Linked DNA regions of Canis lupus familiaris. Each later gene encodes a partner of the first gene's protein in a complex. Links are inferred from orthologs where the notes say so. Each region holds a gene or a part of one and is shown on either strand. Other genes may lie near its edges.

Region 1 (4,337 bases):
GCCTAAACATAACAAAGTTAAAAGCACTGTTTTAAACTACTTCAAATATTCCAGCATTTCCTTGAGGGAATTTCCTTTAGGGAATCATGAATTTGGAAAGAGAAGTCTGATGTCACCTCTGAAACACTGCCATCCATATTTGCAGATAATTCCTGTGGTGCACTTTGATAAGAACCTTGGGACAATAATGACTCAAAGCAAACTTTTGCTTTCAGCACATAAATAAGATGCTATGTTTTAAAAGCCCAGAAAATGTAATGGGAAACAATTACAAAGAAATATCTTTAGGGAAACTGTAATTCCCAATCATTAAAAGTCTATGGGTACGGTGGGTACTTTGATCCATGAATCTAATCGGTCCTCACAACCCTTACGTGGTGCCTATTATGACCTTCATTTTACAGATTTGGAAACAGGTTCAGAAATGTTGACTCATTGCCCTTTGAGAAAAAGAACTATTATCTTATTCTCCACTGTGTACTTAGAGGCTAGGACCAGACTTGGCACATAGTAGGTGTTCAGTGAATGGCCACTGGCTTATCAGTGACAGTTTACTGATTTCCATACAAGGTTTCTCTCTAAAGCGTGTCTAATTAGAATAACCTTGCTTTTCCCAATACCACATGCTGAGAAAGACGTGTACTTAAAACTAAGTTTTTCAAATTCACACATCAATCAATGGGATAGAAATATTTTGATTCTCACCTACCAACACATCATTCGTGTATTTTTATTTTATTTTTTTTGTGTGTGGAAAAAAAAGTACAGAATCGCTCTAACTCTCACCGTCTCATTCTCAACAAAGCTCTTGATCTCGGTTGCTACTGCTCCTTGGAGTGTTGGGTTTTCTCTTGCCCCCCCATTCTCCTCCTCTGTGTTGGAAAATGCATGTCCAAGGACATTTCTCTAAAAGTTTCGAGCTTTGCACACAAGTTAAAAACGCTAGGTCTAGGCTCTTGCGAGCTGAGTTCATTCGGGAATCCGCATCCAGGGGCGGAATTCCTCCCGGAACTATTCCTGTCCCATTCAGCTCGAGAGCAAGCAGGGCCTCCTGCATCTCTGCTCACACGGACTCGCACGCCCGGGCGCGCTGGTGCATACCACAGCAGGGTGAGTCTCGGCCTCTCCCGGAGCCCAACCTGAAGTCCCGGGAAGAGGTCGCATGTGGTCCCCACCCCTTCCCAGCCCCAGTCCGGACAGCACTCATCCATCCGCACTCCCGGAAAGGCAGAGCAATCATCCCCTTCCCGTTCCTGCCCAGGCACGATCGCTCGCGTTTACCGTCTTGTACCACCAGCTTGCGAATGCCATGGCCACAGTCGGTGGGCTCGGAGCCGCGCGTGGCGGAGGGCTCGGCGAGGACGCGGGGTGCGGGGCGGCCGGCGCGGGGCTCCCACTTCGCCTGCCTGGGAGCTGGCGGGCTCTGCGCTCGGGACGCCCGCAGCCAGCAGGAGGCACGACACCTGGGCGCACCCGGAGCGGCCCCGCCCCGCAGACCCCGCCCCCGCAGGCCCCGCCCCGCCCGGAGCCGCGGGAGGCTGGCTAGGGTAGGGGTGTTATTTCACGGGGAAGCCCCGCCCCCACACCCGCCCCGCCCCCCCGCAGGCCCCGCCCCTCAGGCCCCGCCCCGCCCGGTGCCGCGGGAAGCTGGTTAGGGTAGCTGTGTTAGTTCTCGGGTAGCCCCGCCCCCGCAGGCCCCGCCCCCTCAGGCCCCGCCCCGCCCGGTGCCGCGGGAAGCTGGTTAGGGTAGCTGTTAGTTCTCGGGTAGCCCCGCCCCCGCAGGCCCCGCCCCCTCAGGCCCCGCCCCGCCCGGTGCCGCGGGAAGCTGGTTAGGGTAGGGGTGTTAGTTCTCGGGGAAGCCCCGCCCCCCCACAGGCCCCGCCCCCACACCCGCCCCGCCCCCCCCGCAGGCCCCGCCCCTCAGGCCCCGCACCGCCCGGTACCGCGGGAGGCTGGCTAGGGTAGCTGTGCTAGTTCTCGGGGAAGCCCCGCCCCCCGCAGGCCCCGCCCCCACACCCGCCCCGCCCCCCCCGCAGGCCCCGCCCCTCAGGCCCCGCACCGCCCGGTGCCGCGGGAAGCTGGTTAGGGTAGGGGTGTTAGTTCTCGGGGAAGCCCCGCCCCCGCAGGCCCCGCCCCCCGCAGGCCCCGCCCCCTCAGGCCCCGCCCAGCCCGGAGCCGCGGGAGGCTGGCTAGGGTAGCTGTGCTAGTTCTCGGGGAAGCCCCGCCCCCCGCAGGCCCCGCCCCCGCAGACCCCGCCCCGCCCGGTGCGGCGCGAGGCTGGCTAGGGTAGGGGTGTTATTCCTCGGGCAGCCCCGCCCCGCCCCGCCCGGCGCGGCGCGAGGCTGGCTAGGGTGGCTGTGTTATTCCTCGGGGCAGCCCCGCCCTGCAGCCCCGGCTTTAAGCGGAAGAGGGGATTCCGCGCTCGTTAAACTCCCCCCACTCCGGGGGCCTCGAAGGAACTCCCGCCCCCAGCCCTCTCTTCCCTCGCCCGCCTCTCCCCACCCAACTTTCCCCGACGCGGCCCGGCCCCCTGTGGAGCTCGCGCCTCGCCGGGCGCACTGGGCCGGGCCCGAGGGACCCCTGGTCACCTCCGGCCCCTGCCCGGCGGCGAGCCTGAGCCCCGCGCCCTTCCCGGCCCCGAGGGCGCCCGGGCCAGGCGGCCGCGCGGGTCACGCCCCGAGGAGGCGGCCCAGGGCCCCGGGGCTCGGATCCCCTCCCCCCAGCGCGGCCCTGCGGCTCCCGGAGGGGCGCCACTCACCTCCTGGGTGTCGCGGGCGGCGGCAGCGCGCCGGGGCCTCGGGGAGGCAGCGGGCTTCTGGCCCGGCTGAGACATGGCGAGGCCGCGGGATCGCTGCCTCCGGGAGGGCGCCGCGGGGCCGCGAAGGGAGGCCCGGGCGGGGCTGCTCTGCGAGCGAGCGAGCGAGCGAGCGAGGGAGGGAGGGAGGGAGGGGGCGGAGGGGCCGGCGGGCGCGCCCGTGAGGCAGCTTTTCCGACCCAGCCCCGAGCCCGCGCGGGGGCTCCCCCTTGCCCGGCCGGGTCCTCCCCTTCCTGCCGGCTGCTGGCTGCGGCCCCAGCTCCAGCGCCCCGGGGCTGAAGCCGAACACCCTCGGCCCCGTGGTCTTCGCCCCGAGGTCCTCCCCGCCTCCCAGGACTCGGGGCTCCCCGAGGTCGCAGGGAGGAGGGGCTGCAGGTCTCAGGGTTCCTCCTTCGACTTGCCCGGACTCAGCTTTCAGTTGTGCAACGGGAGAGCGGGACCCGGGCGTGGCCCGGCTGCGCCTCGACCCTTCTCCTTAAACAGGTCTCCAGAATTTTTGTTTTAAAGATTTTACTTATTTATGAGAAACACAGAGAGGGGGGGGGGGGGCAGGCAGAGACACAGGCAGAGGGAGAAGCAGGCTCCACGCAGGGAGCCCGACGTGGGGCTCGATCCCACGACTCTAGGATCACGCCCTGGGCCGAAGGCAGACGCTCAACCGCTGAGCCACCCAGGCGTCCCTATCTCCAGAATTAAACACCTTTCCTGCAATCTGTCCGGGTTTAGTTTGGAGAAGAATTTACCAACTCAAATCTGGCCCAAGCCTGGACCGTCTAGATAAGGAAGCGGATCACAAAAAAACAAATGGGTCTGTGCATTTGTTTGTCTGGATGTGTCTGTTTGTGTAGGTGTGTACGCTCTCCTGTGTGTATTTTCTGGCATCTCACTTGGAGGGGTTTTTTTTTGGGGGGGGGGGGCGGGAGGGCGCAATGTTGAAAGTTTTAAAACGTTTTATGGGGGTAGGAAGCCGTAGGTTCCAATTCAAACCAAAGAATAGTCCCAAATTAAAACCCCTGTAGCGTTTCTGGAGCCTGGCCGGTTTTGTTTCCGAGGCCAAAGTGTTTTTAGTCTTTGACTCATCTTAAACAGCACTTCCTGGTTTAGGCCTGGAAGTGAAGTATAACAAGCTTGTCTAGAAAATGCTCATCTGCTGAGACTGTCACCCTTCCATTCTGTGGTTTGTGATCAGACCCGACAGAAAAAAGAACCCGTTTCCCTGGGGTGGCATGGACACTTAGGACCCGAGGGTGACCACTCTCTGCAGTGTTATGTTTTAGACATTTGCTGAGAGAGAAGCCAGGTTGTAGGAAAAGAGTAGTCATGCTGTATTTAGGGATTTTTGTCTTCATTTACAGACTAGCAGCATTCCTGATGGGGGGAGCAGTGAGGAGTGCTGAAAATGGATTTCCTTTTTAAAAGTTTTGCTTATTATCTATGTAACTAGCATTTCCAGCACACAGGCTACGGTGTGAGAATTTACCCATAAAAATGAAATGACTTGGATAAGGGATCTATCATTGTC
Region 2 (4,366 bases), on another chromosome or scaffold:
TCACAAAACTCCTTCACCCAAGGCTTCAGTCAGATTGCCCCCAAGGATACATCCATCACGGCCACCATGCTGCGACATGTGTCAATGCCAAAACCATCAGTTTTCAGATCAGGATCTGTGGGGGACAGATTGAAAGTCAGAAGGCCAGAGGTCACAACTACCCCAGCAACCCATGACTCAAAACCTGTCCTATGTGTTGAGCCCAACAACTCACGTCTGGTTACGACCTTGTTGAGAATGTTCATGAGTTCTGTGGCACTGACTTCCATGTCCTGTGGGGAAAAGTCAGGGATGGTCACAAGGGAAGAATGTCATGAAGGAGAATGGGGATTCTTTGGGGATTGCCATTTTTGGGGGTGTGTGCAAGGGCAGCCCAAAGGAAGATGTGGAAGACTTAGGACAAAGATAGGGGCCCAGGGTTACTTACATCTCCAGCCAGCTGAGCAAAGAGCCTCCGGAACTGCCGGACCTCCTCGCTCTCATTGGCTTCAATGTTGGAGTAATGGGTGCGTGGAGGCTGCAGAGGGAAAAGATCTCAGAGCAAGTGGTGGAGGGGTGCCCGGGTCAGGACAGCCCTTGGTGGGAAAGTCGGAATGGGCTGAGTGGCTGGGTGATCAAAGAAATGAGAGATGGTCAGAAAGCAGGGAGTGGCTATAGCTAAGTTTGGGGACCTTGGCAAGGGAGAGATTTAATGAGTGGAATTTCATAAGGGGGACAAAGGGACAATGATGGGTGTGGAAAAAAGCCTGGGAGTGAGAAGCAGGGTCTCCGATTATAGAGGGTGGCTTACCGGAGGCTCTGGGTTGTACTGCGCAGCTGCCTCACTGAGGGGAGAGAGTTAGGGAGTTAGCGCCAGTGTGCGGAGCCTCCAAAGACGGTGCCCAACCCCTCAAACTCCAGCCCACCACCCTCCCCACCGGCTCCTTCTGCTCGCCTTAACGGTCCCTCTTTGCTGCCCTGGTTGCACCTGGCAGGAAACTCAGAGGCCCGCCCTACGGTAGGCCAGGGCCAGGCCAGGGCACACCTGCCCAGTGACAGATTCCTCAACAGATCACTTCATAGAAGCTCTGACCCAGCTTCCTGGGGCTCCATCCTCCTCAGGCCCCTTCTGTCTAGGAACCTGCTCCGTCCTGTGGCTTCCTGAACACCCGTGTTTCCCAACATCCCACCAGCTCCAGGAGTCCCCACCCCTTCGAGGGGGGCCACGGTTAATGAGGCCCCTGGTGACAACCCGCTCCACCTCGACCAGGTCGTACTTCTAGCCAGATCCACCTCCTTCAGGATCATCTCCCGCATCCCATTCGGCCTCGGCCTCTGCTGGGTCCAGCGCCTCACTGACCCGAGACCACGGCCACGCCGCGCCCGCAAGGCAGGCCTGGCCCCGGGAAGAGACGGCCGGGCTCAGCGGCTCCGCCCCCCTAACGTTCGTCTCCCGGCCGCCGGGAGGCAGGCCGCGCCCCCCCAAGCCCCACCTCCCCGAGCAGCGCCCGGCAGATCGCCCCTCAGCCGTCAGACTCCGCCCACGTCAAGCGCCGCCTCCTGAACTGCCAGCGGCCCCGCTACGGCCCGCGCCCTCCAGGCGGGTGGCCCAGCCTCGAAGACTGCAGGTCAGGCCCCAGGTTACCTCCATCTACTCAGGCGGGACATGCTCCTCCGCCGGGCCCCGCCCCTCAGGCCCCGCCTTACCTGATGGCACTAATGACCCCGCCCAGGATGCGCATGGCCGTTCCGCCCCCGCCGCCGCCGCCGCCGCCGCCGCCGCCTCCTCCGCCGCCGCCGCCGCCGCCGGCTCCGCTGATCAGGCCTCCGATCACATTCCCCAGGCCCCCGCCCAGGCCCCCGCCTCCCCCGCCGCCGCCGCCTCCTTTCAAGAACGAGTTAACCAGGAACATGGCTGCGATTTAAAATTCCTGGGGGGGGAAAGGGGGGGTCAAGGGGCCGCATCGCCACGGAGCCCGCTCCTTCCACACAAAAATACGCATTTCTGGCAGCCGGACTTGGGGAGTAACATGAGGCCTCAGGGCAGGGACTTATGCTCCGGCTCGGGCTTGACGGTGCATTTGGGATGGGGTCTGGGGTTCTGGGGGAGGGTAGTTTTCGGATGGGTGGGACAGGGACTGAGGATCGGGTTTGAAATCCCCTCTGGGTCCAAAGGATCTCCTTCTGGCTTGAGGGCCCCTGGACTGAGTCCATAGTGCATAGGCATCATCCAGGGTAAGGGTCCAGGTCTGGGGGCTTCTCCAGGTGGGGGCCCCAAGCTGGTGCAAGACATCTTTGACATGTCTAGGTACTCGAGTCAGATCGAGCCCCAGAGCTGGGTTTCGGGGTCTTGGGCGGGTCAGGGGCGCCGATCAGAGATTCTCCACTTGGAAGGCTCTGGGGCAGGGTTCAGGAAACCCAGAAATGTGAGCTTGAGGGTTTCGATACTCCCAGCAGCGGGTTACAATGTCGCCGCTGATTCTGCGGGCTCGGGTCTAAGACTGTGGGTGTGAATCCCGGGGCCTGGGATAACGGGGTGCCCATTAGAATTGGGAGAACGGATCTAAGGATCGTGGTTCTGGGGACCCTACCCTGAGCATAATTTGTAGGAGTACCTCTCAAATCCACGGGCTCGAACTTTAGATCCTGAGGCAGAGGGTGGAAGAGTCCCCGGCGGGGGAGGGGGGGATAACCTGGTGCCGGACATAACTGGGGCTTCCAGTCTGAGATCATGGGTCGGGGGGGGGGACCCCTGAGACCAGGGCTTAAGGGTGTTGGATATGGGGGCCGCAAGGACCGGGGTTACGGAGTACAGGGCTAATCCAGATCGGGCGCTCACCGCCTCGCTCACTCGTCCGTGGATCCGTTCGTCCGCGCTGCTCCCGGGCCTCCGGCCGCGTCCGGCTCCGCAGGGCGGGGCGGGTGACTCAGGCTGCGGGCGGGGCTGGGCTCTGCGGGCGGCCCGACCGGCCTCCGCGCGGTCCTAGAGCCGGCCTGAGCTGCGCCTGCGCGCGCCGGGCCCGCCTCCCGTGACCCCGAGCGGCCGCCGCGGCTCCGCCCCGCGCGTTTCCTGAGCTGTGGGTGCGGACCCCGCCCTGCGCTCCGAGATCCGAGGTCTTCCCGGTCCTTGAGGGCAGTGCGGTCGCCGTGCCCGGGATCCCCCCCTAGTGTTGCAGTGTGAATTCTGGCCCCACAGCGAGCCCCCGTGCGCCCCGCGGTGCCGTTTTCGGTCCGCTGGGAAGGGGACTTCGGGCCCGCGCCCCGGATCCTAGTCCTGTCGCCACAAAGCATTTGGAGACCCGGATGCTCGGCCCACAGCCCGGGGACCGGCGCCCGCATTTGGGGCAAGGGGCTAAGGCTGGACTAGCTTTCCCGGGGCCCTGCAGCAACCAGGTGGCGGTCAGACTGCAGGAAGGACTTCCCCGCCTACAAAAGTTGCCTGTGCCTCCTCCCCCCGCATCCTTTTACCCCGAGTCAGCGGCGCCAAGTGTCGCCTCCTCCTTCCCATCTCTAAAGAGGGGCCTGGGCACCCGAACAGTCAGTCTCTCTGGCCTGGTTTCTGAAGCTAGATGTCCCCAAGATCGGGCGGAGAAGTAGGGGGTGGGGAATGCAGAAGCTGGCAGGGCAAAGGGCGGCAGCGGAAGCCCCTCTGGGGAGCTCCGGCCTCCAAACTTCAGGGCTCCTCAGAGGGAGCTAATCTGGCTCCCAGGCCTTCTGGAAAGTCTGGCCCCCTTCGACTCTCCCCTGGAGGCTGACTTAGCTTGAGTCTGAACCCTGGCTCTGACATTTAATAACTGGGATCCTTTGGGCTCTGAGCAAGGCTGTTTTGTTTTGTTTCATTTCGTTTTAGCAAGGATTTATTCATCTGTAAAATGAGAAACAAAGGTTCCCATTCCCCCTCAGAATTGAGTGGTAAATAAGGTTAGTAAAGAGGAAACTGTGTGTGCCTGTACCCATGCTGCTGTTCCCTCCTCCTGTAGCCCACCTGGATTCCTCAGGTGGTTGACTGACCTACCCTTAGGTGATACTGATAAAAATAAGGGCCAGGCACTCTCCTGAGCACTTTACATATAACCTCACATGCCCTTGTAACAGCCCTATGGCGTGGATGTACACAGTATTTCCATTTTACAAGTAAACTGACTGAGGGTAAACTCCCTAGCCTGTAACCTTAACCACTACCCTAAAGCATTGACTTCAATAATATGATTAATTTTTCTTAAGATTTTATTTATTTATTCATGAGAATACACAGAGAGGAGAGAGAGAGAGGCAGAGACACAGGAAGAGGGAGAAGCAGGCTCCGTACAGGGAGCCCGACGTGGGACTCGATCCAGGGTCTCCAGGATCACGCCCTGGGTGGGCCAAAGGCGGTGCTAAACCGCTG

Evidence for each region.
Region 2: the proteins of CAST (region 1) and CAPNS1 are in contact, whole or in part, in a crystal structure (PDB 3BOW), measured with the Rattus norvegicus proteins. The link is inferred for Canis lupus familiaris from reciprocal best matches to the Homo sapiens genes CAST and CAPNS1. Residues at the interface, in NP_445747.2 of Rattus norvegicus: Pro652, Ile653, Asp654, Ala655, Leu656, Ser657, Asp659, Leu660, Asp661; in NP_058814.1 of Rattus norvegicus: Phe103, Leu106, Gln109, Leu110, Ile125, Lys128, Val129, Arg132, His133, Leu136, Phe166, Trp170, Lys174, Gln177, Lys181.

Annotation. Positions count from the first base shown.
Region 1 is NC_049224.1:13,067,505-13,071,841, forward strand, and holds the start of CAST (calpastatin), read right to left. Parts: upstream 2,913-4,337; 5' UTR 2,834-2,912; coding exon 2,759-2,833; intron 1,440-2,758; exon of another isoform or gene 1,312-1,439; coding exon of another isoform or gene 1,282-1,311; intron 1-1,281.
Region 2 is NC_049222.1:117,400,038-117,404,403, forward strand, and holds the start of CAPNS1 (calpain small subunit 1), read right to left. Parts: upstream 2,891-4,366; 5' UTR 2,819-2,890; intron 1,911-2,818; 5' UTR 1,893-1,910; coding exon 1,687-1,892; intron 1,669-1,686; exon of another isoform or gene 1,648-1,668; coding exon of another isoform or gene 1,625-1,647; intron 1,608-1,624; exon of another isoform or gene 1,473-1,607; intron 1,338-1,472; exon of another isoform or gene 1,257-1,337; intron 825-1,256; coding exon 791-824; intron 518-790; coding exon 428-517; intron 273-427; coding exon 215-272; intron 116-214; coding exon 51-115; intron 1-50. UniProt on the Homo sapiens protein: Regulatory subunit of the calcium-regulated non-lysosomal thiol-protease which catalyzes limited proteolysis of substrates involved in cytoskeletal remodeling and signal transduction. Essential for embryonic development.